Linked DNA regions of Caenorhabditis elegans. The protein of the gene in region 1 purifies or fractionates together with the protein of each later gene. This does not show direct contact. Each region holds a gene or a part of one and is shown on either strand. Other genes may lie near its edges. The genes, in order: ubxn-4, cdc-48.1 and cdc-48.2.

Region 1 (5,415 bases):
GCTGACGGCTCTTGTCCACTTGTCAAAACAGCTTTGAATCCAACATCAATAGCGTCCTCAAGACAAGTTTTCCAGTCATAGGCGACGTCAATTGCTCGATGAAATGTGACAGGATGTGGACGGGCAGTTTCAATTATTGATTGACATGATGTACGATCCAATGAACCGGCTCTGAAAATTGAAATTTTTTGTGGATCATCCAGAGCAATCAACCGTTATAATTACAAAACTTCTTTCGTAATTTTGCCGCATGTCTATGCATTTTAAATGTTTTTTAAAAACAAGCTTTCCGCATTGTTCAAAAATTAAGTCAGCCTAAAAATAATTATTTAAATGTTATGTAAAATTTTTATTGATAAACTTGATTGAGAATTTATTTGCGGAAAATGGTGAAAAATTCGAAATGAAACAAGAATATGTTTTTCTTTTTTCATTTAAACATGTTGGAAATAAAATTATAATATATTTATTTGTTTCATTCAATTTAAAACTCTCCGACTTACGATGTTAATGCTCCAAAAACGAATCCTGTGGCACCAGCTTTTTTGAGCCATTCAACGTCTTCCATATTCGCTGCCATTTCGTCTTCATTATACACAAAATCGCCTGCCCGTTGGCGAATCATACAATAAAGTGGAATATCGGGATACTTGTAGCTCAGAATAGACACAAATCCGACGGATGGAGTGAGCCCTCCGAGTTGTAAAGCTGAGCAAACTTCCAATCGATCAGCTCCACCGGCAACAGCATTTTCCGCAGATTCCAGATTATCGATGCATATTTCCAGTTTTATTTGCTTCTGGGATTCTGTTTCTGTCATCTTAACACAATAGAGTTTGAGAAAATATGTTTTTAACATTGTAAAGAATAGGTATAAAGTTATGGTTTAAAATCCGAAAACTCAGCAAGAAAACTGAACATATCTGGGATAAATGAAAACTTTTATTCGATTCGAATTATAAACGAGCAAAAAATAAATTATCCATGGCGATGAACTTTTGGTGTTGGAATCACAGGCGACAAGAAATTTACATTATTACATGAACTGAGTAGAATTTCCATTGAAACTGGCTCGCTCTTCAGGATCGTCTTCATTCGGATTTTCAAGCCCTGCGACGTTTCCACGCTGAAAATAATTTCATTATGGAAAGAAAATAACAATGCACACAAACCCGACGAACTTCCGCACTCCTTGGCATCCCGCGTCTTTGTGGTTGTGATCCTGATTGACCCGATGTAGATGGCCCATCGTTTTTCTTAGATTTCGAGTCTTGTTGTTTTCCGGTAGAATTCCAGCCAATCATACCACAGAAAATATTCCAAAAAGCAGTGAGTGGGTATAAAACCCATGTTACAAAGGATACGGTTTGAGTACTGAGCGAGAAAGATCCATAATTTGAAGAGGAACCCGACGATTTTTGAATTACGACAAGTGCGGTAGAGGGTGTTAATTGATTCTCGAGGAATGTTTTCGAATAGTCATCATTTGTAAATATGCGGCGTGGATACGGTTGCTGAATTTCAAAAGTAGTTCCAGCAATAGAGGGCTTTTGACGAATGATCTCTACGAGAGAATTGAGAACATCATTTGAAGGAAATTCTTCTACAAAAGTAGAACCATCAGGAAGTCGAACTTGTAGACGACACCTACAATAAATTCATAAATTATCAGTTATCAATTAATTTTCTAACCTGTCTGATGGCACAGCCTTTCCAACAGTGGTTTCTTGTTTCTTTTCAGTATTCTCCGAAGCGTTTTCAGTGTTCACAAGTTTCCCGAACTTTTTCTGAGCAGCTTCGCTGAAAAATATTTATATTTTAGAAACACTAAATTAAAATCTTACCGATCAGCTTTAATTTGGGCCAAAATTCGTTTCTTATCACTTTCGGCTGCCAATTTTTCCATCTTCCTCTGTTTCGCTGCTTTGACCAACGCTTCAGCATCTCTTTCCTGTTTTGCTTCGCGTGCTTTTGTCATTTCTTCCTTTACATGTTTGTCGGCCTCTCGCTTCTTTTCAGCATCTTTTTGCTTTTTTTGCTCTAGAAGAGCTTTAGCTCTTGCTACCTTCTCTGCAAGTTCACGAGTCATTTCCTGAGAAGTTGATGAAGATTGAATTGGTGCTGTAACAGGTGTTGGGGCTGGGATTGGGGCATCCGTTGACGCTGGTACTTGGACAGGGGCGGGAGAAGGACTAGGTGTTGAAAGTTGATTTGCAGCTGCTGTTGGCATCCCATTGACGAATTGAGCAGTAGCTTTATCAAATTTGGCTCGGAACTGGTCATATGTTTTTCCAACGAGCGGAGTGATGACTTCCAAAGGTTTTCCATTTTGATCGATTAGATATGCTGCTGGCAGAATTGGTGTAGGATCTAAAAAGATAACATTTTGGCTGAACTGCTATAATTTAAACATTCCAACTTACAAATATCAGCAAACTGCTGGGCAGAAGTTTCACCAGCTTTCAGTTTTATTCCCACTACTGCGCATAAAAGATTTGACGAATCGATATGTTGCCAAAACCCATCGAAAATCTGGCCATCTTCCGAATCCGTGGTGATATATACAATGAGAAGAGCTTTGTTCTTACGGGAAATTTGAATCGCAGTCGCTACGTTGCCACCAAACCACTGCATTCTGTAAATTTTAATATAACTTATCGATTCATGTGAAAAGATACGATTTTCAGAAATCGAAGAGTAAACATTTAGTTATTGAGATAAAATAACCTAAAATTTTCTACAGAAAGCGTTCTTAATTGATTTATTCCAGCAAAATAAATAAAAAAGTGGCTAAAAAATTTATAAAAATAAAAAGACGTCGAATAATTCGTGGAGAGAAGAAACCGTGCGGGGGTTGCATTCCGACTCCGCCTCCTGCCATAAACTCCGCCCACCACCGCTCTCTGCGATTTTTACATTGAAGAAATGGATTTTTCTCTGTTTTTCTTCGCTTTTCTCATAGAAAATATTTGTTTTATATTTAATTTGCAAACAATTTATCAATTAACAATTGAATAAACATTACTAGACAGATTTTTTCTTGTGCTCCGTTCCCCACACTTTATCGATTTTCCATTAATTTGCAGGACTCGCTTCCCAAGTTTCTAGTCACTCCTAATGCGATAATTTTGGTTTTTGGAGATTAAACGTGTTCCGTAAGTTGAAATTAGTAACATTGTCTTTGAAACTTTGAATTTAAACCAATAATTGTTTACAGGTGATGGGAAATTCATCGTGTTGTCTGCGAACGAGGTCGTCGAGCGGAGAGGACAAATCGTATAATAATGATGGACAGTATATTAGAACTAATCAAGTGGAGGTATACAAAGTTATTTTTTGAAAAAGTTTGCATAAATGGAAACTTTGATATCGATTGTTGGAATAATTGTTTTTAATTTAAAAAAAAACTATAAAGCTCTGAAAATATACATTTCGAAGAGAATAATATTTTTTATTTACACAAATTTGGTTTAAAGGGCTTTAATAAGCTTCACGAGTACAAGATTATTTAAAATTATATTTTAAAGGTAAAAATATTCGAAAACCTCTTTCTACAAAAACCTAAATTTAAAATTCAGTTCCAGTATGTCAATCAAGTGTTCCCTCGTGATGAAACATCGACAAACTTCCTTCCTCACATAAGTGAACGAGAGGTAACAGAAGGTAATTATATCACTGAAGTATATATTTTTAAATTCATATTTTTTAAGGATACGAGGAAGATCCATCAACGAATCCAACAGCTCGGCCAACATTTATGGAACGAAGTAAAAGTGAAATGAAATGTAAAATTCTTTTTCTTCTAATCCTTGAATCTATTCTTATCAATTCCAGTAAAAGACAATCGTCGTTCATGTTATATGTTGGATGCATTGGCAGCTGGTGGTCATCATCCCGGAATTTTACCCAGAAGCCTGCGTAAATCAAGCAGCTGCAGTACTATTTATATTGGTAATTAAAGATTTCATAAACATTCTCTGATTTCTCAAATTTTAGATGATTCAACAGTCAGTCAACCTCATCTTAAGAATACAATAAAATGCATTTCTCTTGCAATATATTATCATATTTCAAATCGTAAAAATCGTGGACACGAGCGACTAATGGAGATTTTCGAAGAACGACTTCATCCGATTTTCGTAAGTTTTATCAATCAATCCATAAGTTCCATACATTTTTCGAAGATTTTTCAGAGAGATCCTATACCTCCAGAGCAAATGACACGGGATCCTGATCATCGGAATATTTATCGGTTTGTCAGAAATCTGTTTAGTTCTGCGCAGTTGACCGCCGAATGTGCTATTATTACTTTGGTGAGTTTTTTTTTCGGTTAAAATCTTTTTAAATGAATATCATGAGATTTGGCAAAAATGTATTTGTGTAGAAGATTCGCCTTGTTCTATTGAAAAAATATTAAAAAGACACAACGTTTTGCAATTTTTGTGCCAAAAAAGGTTCAAAAATTTTCGTTATTCGATTTTAATGAAAAATTAAAATTTTCGTTTTTCCGACATTAAAAAATCTAATTTTCGAAAAAAAATAACTTATAAATTTTTGGCCATTATTCTTCTTTTTTAAAGATTTTTTCTGAAAAAAAACAAAGTTTTTCTATGAAAAAAAATGGTAATTTCAAATTCTTTCGACTACGGAATTTTCATTGATTTTTCGTATTTTTCCGATGAAAAATATTGATTTGTTAAAAACTACATAAATTTTAACAGATCATGAGAAAATTAGAAAAAAAATTATGAAAATGTCGGGGATCCAAAGTTTGAAATTACAGTAATCTTTAAAGACGCACACCTTTCCGCATTTATCGTGTCGAGACCATGTACTGTATTTGTAGCGCAAAAAATTCACGCACTGGTAATATTTTAACTTTTCGCTATCGTAGTTGAATTACCCAATTTTGATTTTCTGCTGCCGACGCATTTCTCTTTTCTTTAATAAATTTATCAATTTTGTATAAAAACGCGAAAACCATTTTTTCAGGTGTACATCGAACGATTGCTTAATTACGCAGAAATGGATTTGTGTCCTTCAAATTGGCGTCGGGTTGTACTCGGTTCAATCATGTTGGCATCAAAAGTATGGGATGATCAAGCTGTTTGGAATGTTGATTATTGCCAAATTCTTCGAGATACAAATGTTGACGATATGTAAGTATTTTTTTTATTTGGTCAGAAACCCCGTAATTAAATTATTTCAGGAACGAATTAGAACGGCGGTTTTTGGAATGTCTCGACTTTAATATTGAAGTTCCGTCGTCGGTGTATGCCAAGTATTATTTCGATCTTCGAACATTGGCACTTGCAAATGATTTACAATTACCAATTCAACCGTTGTATAAGGAGAGAGCGCAAAGATTAGAGGTAACCTTTTTGACAATTGATTTTCGGGGAAAAAGTTAAAAAT
Region 2 (6,870 bases), on another chromosome or scaffold:
CCCGTGACTCTTCTGAAGATGAGGTTTGGAAGATAGGTTCAAGAGAAAATGATTTTTGAAAATGAGATATTTTTGTTGGGTGGAGAACTTTAGAACGGGCGAAATATGAAAGAAAGATAATCGAAAAAGTGCAGGCAAACTGCGATTTTGAAGATTTGAACCGTTGTGTAAACTCTTTTTTTTTCTTTGGCATTTTGCCAGGTGAGCAAATATAGACGGAATGAAGAAGCCAAGAGTTCAAATTCTAAAAAAAAGAGCTTCATAACTCATACTAGTACTCCACAAGAAAAAACATGCACGTGTAGATATACGTGACGGATGGTGGCGCGTGACACGTAAGTACGAGGGATCACATAAATCGAGGAGGCATGCACAGAGAGATTGCAAATTGCGTCCAACGGGGAGCGCGCAGCAGCCAGCGGTGCCAGAAGAGATGGTCACGAGTTCACACTTTTTATTCGTTTTTCGAATTGTCGCCGGTTCTTTTTCTTTTGACCTTCGGAAAGTCTGAAGGCTGAGAAGTCATTCGTATGCATCGAAAAGATCCATGAAACTGATTCTTGCCGCTTTTTTTGATTTATTTATTCGAGAGAGCGAATGGGTCACAAGATTCCCGGGCGACATTGGATGGCATGTGATCTCTGTCTCGCAGGCACCGTATTCAAAAGTGCATGCCGTTCAGTTGTGAAAAGACTGTTTTTTTGTGTCTCACGAGAAGAAATACGACTAAAGTAATGGAAAATAAATAGTAGAAATGCGACTTTCAGGCATGAAAAACCAATTTTTCTAGAAAAAAAAAACAAAAGCACTGTAGTGTGAATTTGTTCGTGACGGTGTTTCTTACAAAAATGTGCATATTTGCGGCAAATTTTGTGTTTTCAGATATTTTTAAGAATTTGAAAACTATTGGCACTTATCAGTTACTATCAATATTAATATCTGATCTAAAAGATTCATGTGACAGACAACGAGGACAAGGAATTTTTGAAAATTGGCCAGAAACGAGTTCAACAAGCTTGAAGATAAGCAACTATAGTACTCAATTCGGCATTTTCTTTGTTAAAAACCTCATGACTATGTACGAAATGCGTGCACTCCTATGAGTGTGGAGACAATATCGATGGAAAATGATATCAATGAATGAAAAAGCACTTCTACTTTCCAAAAGATCAAGAACAACTGGATCGCTAAATAGGTTTGATGATTGATATTAAAACCTGGTCCAAAAAATTACGTTAAACTTAGGCAACTTATCTTAAATACAGCTTCCCATTATCAACGGAACAACCAGTCATTGGTCATGAGACAATTCCACCTACACAATCACAAATAATAGTTTGAATATGGCAACACAATCGTACACAATTATGATTACAGACATCGTACATTTATATGTCAAAAACGGCAATACATACAAAACATTGGGAGGGATGCAAAAAAATAAATGGGATATACTTTTTGATCAACTGGGATGTAGGTATCTACAAATTTTTTCTTCTCGCGAAGATCATCCGTAACCATTAATTTCTAAAGCGAAAACATGGGCTCAATTACAATAAATAGTGGTAAATCGGGGGTTGGAAAGGGGTGAAATACGAGGTGAAAAAGTGGGTATGGGAGAAAATAAAACGAGTATCATACATAGACTCAGTAGATAAACTCAATACATTAGTTATAAAGGTCGTCATCATCCTGAGCAGGTACAGGGGCAGATGGGGCATCGCTTCCGCGTTGTTCTCCTGGGAATTTGAAGTTGTTTCCAAAGCCACGAGATTGTTGCAATGTTTGTGCAAACATTTCGTACCTACAAACATATTTTATAGACATACAATAAAACCATTATCAAAACTCACTTTCTGATGTCATTGTCTGTAACAGAGCGTCTGGCAAACTTCATGGCTTCCTCGAAGTGAGCACGAGTAATTTCTGGTACTGGATCAACTGCATCGTCTTCCATGAGCTCCTCACCGCGAGCTTGGCGATCTTGACGTTCCTTCTCAATCCGAATTTCCTTTTCGATCGATTCGCGAATAGCCAGCTTACACGCTCTGAAAATGTCATCGTTCACACCAGGAAAAATAGAATATCGGGGCCTTAGCGCGACTTTAGATACTCTAACTATTATAATTTACTGTGAGACGATTTTTTATATAGCACAAATATGACACTCGCGTAACCATGAACACAAAACTTGGCAGAATCTGAACTGCAAAACGCAGCTAAGAAGAGCCAAGAATGTGTAGATTTCGCAAGTTCTTAAGTTGTGCGTTTTGAACAAATTTTCAAATAATTAAATTACTCACCTCTGACAAATTTCGGTCAAATCGGCTCCAGAGAATCCAACAGTGTTTTTGGCCAAGAAGGTCAAGTCAAGATCCTTGGAGAGTGGGGTTTTACGAAGAGAAGCTTTCAAAATTTGGTGCCGAGAAGCTTCGTCTGGGAGTGGGATGTAGATAAGCTGATCAAGGCGACCTGGACGAAGAACAGCTGGATCAATGATATCAGGTCTGTTTGTAGCTCCGATGATGAACACATTTTTCTTCGCGTTCATTCCATCCATTTCGGTGAGCACTTGATTGATTACACGATCCGATGCACCTCCTCCATCACCGCCGGCGCCTCCACCTCTTGCCTTGGCAATCGAATCCAACTCATCGAAGAACAACACGCAAGGAGCAGCTGCACGAGCCTTGTCGAAGACATCACGGACGTTAGCTTCCGATTCTCCGAACCACATTGTGAGCAATTCTGGACCCTTGATGGAGATGAAATTGGCTTGACACTCGTTGGCAATTGCCTTGGCAAGAAGTGTCTTACCACATCCTGGTGGCCCATAGAACAAAACTCCTCTTGATGGCTGCATTCCAAACTTGAGATATTTTTCTGGGTGTTCCACTGGATACTGAACCAATTCTTGAAGTTCGCGCTTGACGTTTTGAAGACCTCCAATGTCGGACCAAGTTGTATTCGGAGTTTCGACAACAGCCTCGCGGAGAGCGGATGGGGAAGACTTTCCTTGAGCAAAACGGAAGTTTTCCATTGTGACAGCGAGTGAATTAAGAACCTCTGCATCAATTTGGTCATCTTCGAGATCAATGAGCTCCATCTTTTCACGAATCTGTTGAAGAGCGGCTTCCGAGCACAACGATGCCAAATCGGCACCAACGAATCCGTGACATTCATTTGCAATTTGTTCAAGATCAACATCATCCGCGAGCTTCATGTTTTTCGTGTGAATGCGCAGAATCTCAAGCCGGCCGACTGCATCTGGAATTCCGATATCGATTTCACGATCGAATCTTCCGAAGCGACGAAGAGCACCGTCAATCGAGTTTGGACGATTTGTTGCAGCAATGACCACAAGGTTAGAACGACCCTAAAATAATTATTATTATCGAATCATATAAAATTTAAAAGCATACCTTGACTCCATCCATAAGTGTAAGCAATTGAGAAACAATTCTGCGCTCAACTTCTCCATTGGTCTTCTCGCGTTTTGGTGCAATGGCGTCAATTTCGTCAATAAACAGAATAGCTGGTTGATTCTTCTCGCATTCTTCGAAAGCCTTACGAAGATTTGACTCGGATTCTCCAGACATCTTTGACATTACTTCAGGTCCGTTGATAAGGAAGAAGAAAGATCCGGTTTCATTAGCAACAGCACGTGCAATAAGAGTCTTTCCTGTGCCAGGTGGACCGAAGAGAAGAATTCCACGTGGTGGCTTGATACCAATAGCCTTGAAAAGTTGGGGATGTCGAAGTGGCAGTTCAACCATTTCCTTGATCTGAGCCAATTGCTTCCGAACTCCTCCCAAGTCATCATAACCAATATCATTCATGCTCTCTTCTTCTTCTTCTCTCTTGATCGGATCTCCTTCGTAGTGAATCATGGTATCAGGTGACACAATGCAGGCTGGAGCTGGCTCAGTTTCGACAACTTTGAATTCCACAGTTCTCATGGCAGCTTGAACAGTGAATATATCTCCCTTGTGAAGTGGGCGGTAAGCCTCCAGGAAGTATGGCTTGAGGAAAACATCGAACAAGTTTCCAGTGAGTCCTTCGATAGTGTCATCAATAGGGAGCACGTGAATGCGGGTTCCGTAACTGAGATTTGGAGCTGGCGTAATGCTCACGACGTCTCCGAGGCGAATACGAAGATTGTTGCGGACAACACGGTTCATGCGAACTTTCTCGTTTGGACAGGACTCATCAGAGACAATGATGGCGACAGATTCCTTTCGCTTCTTTCCCTGCAAAAATAATCATTAGAATCGAAAAATAAAATTTAATTGTGTGACAACCGTTTAAAAATCGAGATCAGCACCTTTGCGTGGTGTTAGGATTACGAAATACTTTGAAACGATTCGTTACTTGATCTATATCGCACAACTATGACACTCATAAAACCATCAGCAAATAAACAGTACTAGCTTCAAAACAGAACGTTTTTCAGCCTATATTGTAAATCACAGACATTACAAGTTCTTAAATTGTGCGTTTTAATCAAAAATTAAAAAGAAACACATACCTTCAGGATGACAGCATCTCCACGGAAAAGTCCCAGTTCGTCCATTTTAGCTTGGGAAACTGCGATGACGGAATTATCATCCTGCTCGGACTGATCGACGATCAAGCGATTCGGCTTTACCTTGTCCTTGAGAATAGCTGTCGACAGCTCATCATTTTTCTTCTCTTTTTCGCTTTGATGCGTTGGAACCGAGGCCATTATGTACAATTTAAGACCTAAAATAAGAAGAATGAGTGTCCAAAATGATAGTGGGAACGAAACTATAAAAGAAAATTGAGATTTTAAAAAAGTTCACGAAATTATTTCTAAAAACGACACAGATTTGAAAATTGTCATCATCCACGCATATAGAAGCGTGTTTTCAACAAGTGTACGCAAAAAGTGTTTGGTGATTCTGACGTTAGGGCGCGGTTGCTTTATAATTTTAGCGCGAAGTTTGAAAAGGATTTTCACTGTTCAAAAAATTTTAAAATTTCTAAATAACGAGACGTATTTGTAAATATTTGCGATGAAAAGCGTTGAAACTTCAAAAAAGTTCTTTGAAAACGGAAACGCAGTTTACAATTTTTTGAAATTTTTCGGAAAAAAGGAACTAGTAAATAAAATCTACCGTTTGCACGTTTGCGGTAATGTATGTAGCTGGGTCCAGGATGAAAATATGAAAAGGAAAAAAAGTGGACTGTAATGTAATGCTGGTTTGGAAAAATAACTGTTATTTGCAATAACGCACATCAGCGTTTGGGTCTCGAAACGATATGCCGTTAGTAAATGCAGCACTTTGTAGATCGATAAAAATGATTTGCAGCATCACCCGATCGATAGACGGAGAACGAAGAGATGTGAAACGAGACGAGAGGAGAATAGTCTTAAGATTTTGATTCTTGATAGTTTCCCAGATCTATGAATTTAATAAGTTGAATAATTTCCAAATTATTTATTCCCGATCGAGAATTAGAATAAATTAAACAAATAGATTAATGGATTAACATTTGCCATTGGATGGTCTTCTTTTGATTCCAAGAGCACGATTAGCTTCATCAATTTGAAGTTTTTGAAGGGAACGACGTTTACGACCTCCACCTCCACATCCACAGCATCCGCATCCGCAACCACATCCACAACAGCATGGTCTACAGCAGGTACAACATCTAGTACAGCAACAAGTTCTACAACAAGTACAACAACATTTGGGTCTACAACAGCAGCAGCATCTTGGTCTGCAACAGCAACATCCACATCCACCACCACCTCCTCCACATCCACAACATCCACAACATCCTCCATTTCTTTTAACACGAGAAGATCCGATAATTGATGTTTCAGATGAAATTATAGATATTTCTGTTGTTGATACTGGCAAAACTCCTGATTCAACCTATAAGTTTCTTAAATACGAGAACTAAATCTATTAATCTAACCTGTGAAATCGATACAATTGTATAAATCAGTACAACTAATGTAGATCCAATTATGAATTTGGTCATTTTGATCGAATAGAAACTGATGAATATCTCAATTTTATGGTGCTTTTATATAACTTTTCCATGATCCAAAGTGTCTTAGTTTTTGTGTTCAATTTCCATGACGCGGCTCGCGCGGAGAGATCACAAAAAATGGTTTCCGGCAAAAGTGTCAAATGAGAGACGACAAACACGTAAGAAGAAGAGGGTATTTAATGGATGGAAATTCGAAAACCATATCGAACGCTAATAATCTGAAATGAATAAGATCGTACTTCTGACTCTCTTTGCCCTTATTGCTATTTCACAGGTATCGGTAAAGGTTCTAAATGTTAGAAAACACAATACTATTATAGGTTGAATCAGGAGTTTTGCCAGTATCAACAACAGAAATATCTATAATTTCATCTGAAACATCAATTATCGGATCTTCTCGTGTTAAAAGAAATGGAGGATGTTGTGGATGTTGTGGATGTGGAGGAGGTGGTGGTGGATGTGGATGTTGCTGCTGCAGACCAAGATGCTGCTGCTGTTGTAGACCCAAATGTTGTTGTACTTGTTGTAGAACTTGTTGCTGTACTAGATGTTGTACCTGCTGTAGACCATGCTGTTGTGGATGTGGTTGCGGATGCGGATGCTGTGGATGTGGAGGTGGAGGCCGTAAGCGTCGTTCCCTTCAAAAGCTTCAAATTGATGAAGCTAATCGTGCTCTTGGAATCAGAAGAAGGTCATCCAATGGCAAATGTTGAACCTTAATCTATTTTCTTAATTAATTAAATTTAATTTAATAAACAAGAAGGTTAAAATAAAGCATTCTTATGTACCCTGCAGAAAAACCGTCCTCTTTCAACTTAAATTATTTATTCTGTTGTATTTAAATTT
Region 3 (6,431 bases), on another chromosome or scaffold:
GAAAACTTTCGTAGAAAGAAATATGTTCGAATTCAAGCATATCAAACCAATGGAAAAGGGATGTGAAGATCAACCAGGACCTCAGGTTCTCTTTTCTACTCCTGGAATGCTTCACGGAGGTCAATCGCTCAAAGTTTTCAAAAAATGGTGCTCAGATCCTCTGAACATGATCATTATGCCTGGTTACTGTGTCGCTGGAACAGTTGGAGCAAGAGTTATTAATGGCGAAAAGAAAATTGAAATTGATCAAAAGATGCACGAAATTCGACTTGGTGTGGAATACATGTCGTTTAGTGCTCATGCTGATGCTAAAGGAATTATGCAGCTTATCCGTCAATGTGAGCCTCAACACGTCATGTTTGTGCACGGCGAAGCTTCAAAGATGGAGTTCTTGAAAGGAAAAGTGGAAAAGGAGTACAAAGTACCTGTTCACATGCCAGCAAACGGAGAGACTGTAGTGATTTCTGCTCAACCGAAGCTTGATATACGAGTTCCACTTGAGGTTTGTGTGTTTCTAAAACAAATTGAACTCAAATAAAAAATTCCAGAAAATTGACAGAAGCCTAAGCCTCGATCCGAATCCTGCCAAATCGGAATGCCCATTTGTCGCCGAGCTCGTTTACGATCAAGAAGTAAGATTATTGAACTTTATTTTGCAATAACTTCAAATAATTTTAGAATGAACGACTGAATATCATGTCTACAGCAGAATCAGAAGATTTGATAAAAGATAAAAACTGCATGCCGATCACTCTCTCATTGTCAGAAATCATCAAAGGCAAAAAAGTGAATTGGAAGGAATTATCAAACGAGCTTCTACTCTATGATCCACACTTGCAACTAAAAGACGACGGCATTGAAATGTTTGATGGAGAAATCACTATTTTAGCAAACAATTCTGATGAAACAGAGCTTGAACTGATCTGGGACGAATGCCGTGAACAGTGGTTCAAGGTTATCCATAAAGCCATCACTGATCTCATTTCACCCGAATCCTCCCCGGTCCCTCCTGCTATCTCTGTTAAAGCATAAGATTTTAACAAATACTTTTTACGGTTACGATTTTTTTACTTGTAAAAGTTGGAAATAAATTTAACATTCATGAGAACATTTGATACCCTCGCAAGGATGCATTTACAATAAATAGAATAAAACAATTTTAGCGAAATCTAGTTGTACAGGTCATCATCGTCATTTCCACCGGAGCCACCGTTTCCTCCAACAGGTTGTCCAGCAGAAGGAGCTTCTCCTGGGAACTTGAAGTTGTTTCCAAATCCACGAGATTGTTGAAGAGTCTGGGCGAACATCTCGTATTTTCTGATATCGTTATCAGTCACGGAACGTCTAGCGAACTTCATTGCCTCCTCGAAGTGTGCTCTAGTTATTTCTGGAACTGGGTCAGCCAGTTCATCCTCCATAAGTTCTTCTCCACGAGCACTTCTGTCCTGACGCTCCTTTTCCTGACGAATTTCCCGTTCAATTGATTCACGAATGGCAAGCTTGCATGCTCTGAAAATGGTATTAATTGACAAATGCGAATATTTTTTTAACTAATTTTTATAACAAACCTTTGGCAAATTTCGGTTAAGTCGGCTCCCGAAAAACCGACGGTGTTCTTGGCAAGGAAGTTCAAATCGAGATCGGCGGAAAGGGGCGTTTTGCGGAGTGAGGCCTTGAAAATTTGAAGTCTAGATGCTTCGTCAGGAAGAGGAATGTAGATCAACTGATCGAGACGTCCTGGACGAAGAACAGCTGGATCAATGATATCAGGACGATTGGTAGCTCCAATAATGAACACGTTTTTCTTGGCATTCATACCATCCATTTCAGTGAGAACCTGGTTGATAACACGATCGGCAGCACCTCCAGCATCTCCTACACTTCCTCCTCTGGCCTTTGCGATCGAATCGAGTTCGTCAAAGAAGAGAACGCATGGAGCGGCAGCACGAGCTTTATCAAACACGTCGCGAACATTAGCTTCGGATTCTCCGAACCACATAGTAAGAAGCTCGGGTCCCTTGATGGAAATGAAGTTAGCCTGGCATTCATTGGCAATCGCTTTAGCGAGAAGTGTTTTACCGCATCCTGGTGGACCGTAGAACAAAACTCCACGAGATGGTTGCATTCCGAACTTGAGATACTTTTCTGGATGCTCTACAGGGTATTGAACGAGCTCCTGAAGTTCGCGCTTGACGTTTTGAAGACCTCCGATGTCGGACCAAGTAGTATTTGGAGTTTCCACAACGGCTTCGCGAAGAGCAGATGGGGATGATTTTCCCATTGCGAACTGAAAAATGATTAATGATACGTCTCTTAAGTGCAAAAAAATGATAACTTACTCTAAAGTTCTCCATAGTGACCGCCAAAGAATTGAGAACTTCAGCATCAATTGTATCATCCTCCAAATCAATCAGCTCCATCTTTTCGCGAATTTGCTGAATAGCAGCCTCAGAGCAGAGGGAAGCCAAATCAGCTCCGACAAATCCGTGGCATTCGTTTGCAACTTGTTCCAAATCAACGTCTTCTCCTAATTTCATGTTCTTGGTATGAATTCTGAGAATTTCCAGACGGCCAACAGCATCAGGGATTCCAATGTCAATTTCACGATCAAAGCGACCGAAACGACGAAGGGCTCCATCAATAGAGTTAGGACGATTAGTAGCGGCGATCACGACAACATGAGCGCGAGTTTTAAGTCCATCCATAAGTGTGAGAAGTTGCGAGACGATACGCTTCTCGACTTCACCGTGAGCCTTTTCTCTCTTTGGAGCAATCGCATCGATCTCGTCAATGAACAAAATAGCAGGTGAGTTCTTCTCACACTCGGCAAATGCTTTACGAAGATTCGATTCCGACTCTCCAGACATTTTAGACATAATTTCCGGTCCGTTAATGAGGAAGAAGAATGCTCCTGTTTCGTTGGCGACAGCTCTTGCGATCAGTGTCTTACCGGTTCCTGGTGGACCGAACAGAAGAATTCCACGTGGTGGTTTCACTCCGATAGCCTTGAAAAGTTGGGGATGGCGAAGTGGGAGCTCAACCATTTCCTTGATCTGAGCGAGTTGTTTACGAACACCTCCGAGATCATCGTATCCAACTTCATTGAGAGCCTCCTCTTCTTCCTCTCTTTTAATTGGATCTCCTTCATAGTGAATAACAGTATCTGGAGCAACAATACACGCCGGAGCAGGATCCGTCTCGACAACTTTGAACTCGACAGTTCTCATTGCAGCTTGAACAGTGAATATGTCTCCCTTGTGCACTGGGCGGTAGGCGTCGGTAAAGTATGGCCGAAGGAAGACATCAAATAGATTTCTAAAATAAAAAATACAGTCTTTATTTCTCCGTGGCAAGAACATACCCAGTCAATCCCTCGATTGTGTCATCAATTGGAAGAACATGAACCCTTTTTCCATATTCGAGTTGAGCACTTGAGATACTGACAACGTCTCCAAGACGGCTTCTGAGGTTGTTTCGAACCACTTTGTTCATCTTGATCTTGTCATTCGGGCAATTGTCCGCATTAAGAACGATAGAGACAGTCTCTCTTCGTTTCTTTCCTTTCAAAATCACCGAATCTCCACGGAAGAGTCCCAGCTCGTCCATTTTGGCCTGTGAGAGCATGACCATGGAGTTGTCGTCATTGTCAGACTGATCGATAATGAGTCTGTTTGGGCGTTTTTTGTCCTGAAAGAGTTAATTATATTGAAATGATTACCTTGGAGAAAAACCTACTTTCAAGATAGCCGTAGCCAGCTCATCATTCTTCTTTTCCTTCTCGTCTCTCTGAGTCGGAACTGAGGCCATGGTTAAACGACTTCTCTGTAAAATCTTGGAATAATAAAAAAGAACGGAAGATGGGGGTAGAACATAGGAAAGGCCGAAACGCGAAAGTCTAATAAGAAAGTAGAACACGGACAAACTTTTCTACAGTAGGTTTTCAAGATAAAACTTCAAGTATAATTTCTGATCTAATTCAGTTAAAGAATCGAATCAAAGAAGAGATGCAAAAAGAGCCAATAGAACAAAATTAAGAAATATGGAAGATGAGACACGTAGACTAAGTTCTCTACAGAACACCCCAATGCTGCCTCTACATGATGACAAAACGCAGCCTCTCATTCACACTCTCTCCTTGGGGCGCATTTGCTTTCGAATAATTTCACAAAGCGTTCTACCGTTTTATTCGGGTCATAAGTAATAATTACATTGTTAAAAATATATGTGAACCAGCCGTCTTTAGCGGAACAGAAGTTCAAGGCGAACCTAAGTGATGTGACGATCTAGAAAGCTAGAGGTAAATATCTCGTTCAAAAACGAAGACATAATTTGAATAACAAGGAGACGAATTCAAAGAAACGTACGATATGAGTGATATTTCAGTGGTAAATTTCCGCAGTTTCCGCAGAGTCAGTGGTAAATTTCCGCAATCGCATAAATATGGAAAAGATATTATACGGCAAAGATAAATACGATAACACACTCTGGTAATTGTTTAACAACGACTGAGATAGCGAAAACCTCCCAGCAACTGTTTAAAACATAATTATTTATAATGAGCAATGCATTGCGCAATGAGAAAACAATTTCTAGAAGAAAAAACTGTTCGTTAAACGTACGCGCTGCTTTTTTTGTTCGAAGGAGCGCGTTTGGTGTTCAGAGACTTGACCGTTTTTTGGAGTTCAGCTATTTTAGGAATCCGATATCTGGAAATAACTGAGAACGCCTGACTTTTATTACAGGAAATAATGATTTTAACAAAATGGCCAACCAGGAAACCACATAATGTATAAAAATTATCAAAAAAAAGCATCAGGTTTAAGACAACTTCATTTTTTTTCAGCGAATCTGCTTCTGGAAGAAACTTCTTGCGGATTCGTGGTGTCTCCCGCTTTACAAAAATCTAAAGTTCTACAAAACGAAACATTAAAACAGTTTTTTTGAGCTTCAATCCATGTTTTTTTTTAAGTTTTCGATAGTGTTTTATTGTTTCAGTTTCCCAAATTACAAATTAAATTAAATTTTTTTGGAATATTTAATTTTCTTTAAAATTCACAGTGTATTGTTTTCCTCATGTAAACTGGATTTTTGGTCTTTTATCAATAAAAATTATCGATGATCTGAACGATTTTCTGAATATTCCGACGCATTAAATAAAAAATGTGTATATATATGTTTTCAACATGATGTTTCCCTCGTTTGTTTACAAAAATTCCAACCTTCCCCCGTTCTCTCGGTCAATCATTCGTTTTTCACTATTTTGCTGTTTCTCTTTTTCTCGCTCAATTTATGTTATTGATTCATTTCAATGCCAAAACTGATGATATAAAGCGTCGTTTTCTCTATTCACAACTCCTGTTTTATATTTTGCTTCCATTTTTTGAAGTATAATTGTTTCCAGAATGATATAATGAGTTTCCCGGTGGCATTTTTGCTCGTTCTCTTCTTGGTTCCATTCACATTTGCGACAAATAATTTAGTTGTTAGACAGAAAGAATTGGAAATTGTAATTGGAGGAGAAGTCTCTGTTAATTTCCAGATCAAGTGAGTTATTAATAATATTTTTCATCCAACAGGTTATAAAATAAAAACAATCATACGAACATGTGCTGTATTCAATCAATATAATTTTCAGAAACCACACATCACAATCATTGAACGCAACACGTATCTCCCTCTCGCAGTCACCATACATCTCCCATCCTGATGCTATTCTCGTTGACAATTGGAATGCTAATGTGACAGTTTTAGGAAGCCAATTGGTGTCCGGAGCTATTTTAGAAGCTCTCAATTGTACTACAGATGGGTCAATTACTTGTCCTCTGGAGTGAGTCGATGATTATATATTGTAAAAATTAAATCAAAACTCATTTCCAGTCTTGAAGATGCGTTTGCTAGAATCACAGTTATTCGCTCTCACTTTCTTGCCATTTTGATTCAAATTGTTGGATGGACATACTTCTTCGCATGGAGTATTTCGTTTTATCCCCAAATGTATCTGAATTTCAAAAGAAAAAGCGTCGTCGGGCTAAACTTCGATTTCTTATCTCTGAACCTTGTCGGATTTTGTGCATATGCTATTTTCAATCTGTTAATGTATTATAATAGTCATGTAAAGGTGAGAACTAGAAAATAAATAACTAAAATTAATTCATCTTCTTTCAGAATGAATACAATATTGTGAATCCTCGGTCACCGCCACCAGTACTTTTGAACGATGTTGTGTTCGCTGTTCACGCATTTCTTGCCTGCTTTATCACAATTCTTCAATGTTTATTCTATGAACGTGATAATCAGAGTGTTTCTTCAAAATGTATCGCCCTTATGATTGTGCTGATCTCTTTTGGATTCTGCTCCGCTGCCGCCACGGTTCTCAGGAAAATTCAATTGCTCTCGTTTGTGACCAGTTTGTCGTACATAAAAATGGCTGT

The links.
Region 2: the proteins of ubxn-4 (region 1) and cdc-48.1 purify together in Caenorhabditis elegans (affinity purification with western blotting, with the first as the bait; one study listed by BioGRID). This does not show direct contact.
Region 3: the proteins of ubxn-4 (region 1) and cdc-48.2 purify together in Caenorhabditis elegans (affinity purification with western blotting, with the first as the bait; one study listed by BioGRID). This does not show direct contact.

Annotation. Positions count from the first base shown.
Region 1 is NC_003281.10:8,402,788-8,408,202, forward strand, and holds ubxn-4 (UBX domain-containing protein 4), read right to left. Parts: upstream 2,636-5,415; 5' UTR 2,635-2,635; coding exon 2,424-2,634; intron 2,371-2,423; coding exon 1,845-2,370; intron 1,801-1,844; coding exon 1,693-1,800; intron 1,648-1,692; coding exon 1,173-1,647; intron 1,127-1,172; coding exon 1,037-1,126; 3' UTR 931-1,036; downstream 1-930. Other genes in the region: cutc-1 (Copper homeostasis protein cutC homolog), read right to left, coding at 1-171, 504-820; cyy-1 (Cyclin-Y), read left to right, coding at 3,221-3,319, 3,579-3,663, 3,711-3,785, 3,835-3,951, 3,997-4,139, 4,194-4,313, 4,993-5,159, 5,210-5,372.
Region 2 is NC_003280.10:10,558,665-10,565,534, forward strand, and holds cdc-48.1 (Transitional endoplasmic reticulum ATPase homolog 1), read right to left. Parts: upstream 4,744-6,870; 5' UTR 4,727-4,743; coding exon 4,529-4,726; intron 4,401-4,528; exon of another isoform or gene 4,288-4,400; intron 4,251-4,287; coding exon 3,423-4,250; intron 3,377-3,422; coding exon 2,304-3,376; intron 2,271-2,303; exon of another isoform or gene 2,053-2,270; intron 2,049-2,052; coding exon 1,854-2,048; intron 1,805-1,853; coding exon 1,669-1,804; 3' UTR 1,367-1,668; downstream 1-1,366. Other genes in the region: C06A1.6 (uncharacterized protein), read right to left, coding at 5,511-5,903, 5,947-6,012; C06A1.7 (uncharacterized protein), read left to right, coding at 6,248-6,298, 6,345-6,737. UniProt on the Caenorhabditis elegans protein: ATP-dependent chaperone which probably uses the energy provided by ATP hydrolysis to generate mechanical force to unfold substrate proteins, disassemble protein complexes, and disaggregate protein aggregates.
Region 3 is NC_003280.10:8,135,887-8,142,317, reverse strand, and holds cdc-48.2 (Transitional endoplasmic reticulum ATPase homolog 2), read right to left. Parts: upstream 3,823-6,431; 5' UTR 3,808-3,822; coding exon 3,736-3,807; intron 3,688-3,735; coding exon 3,362-3,687; intron 3,316-3,361; coding exon 2,340-3,315; intron 2,288-2,339; coding exon 1,569-2,287; intron 1,510-1,568; coding exon 1,170-1,509; 3' UTR 1,088-1,169; downstream 1-1,087. Other genes in the region: ints-11 (Integrator complex subunit 11), read left to right, coding at 1-502, 549-632, 679-1,032; ctns-1 (Cystinosin homolog), read left to right, coding at 5,411-5,544, 5,636-5,827, 5,878-6,118, 6,166-6,431. UniProt on the Caenorhabditis elegans protein: ATP-dependent chaperone which probably uses the energy provided by ATP hydrolysis to generate mechanical force to unfold substrate proteins, disassemble protein complexes, and disaggregate protein aggregates.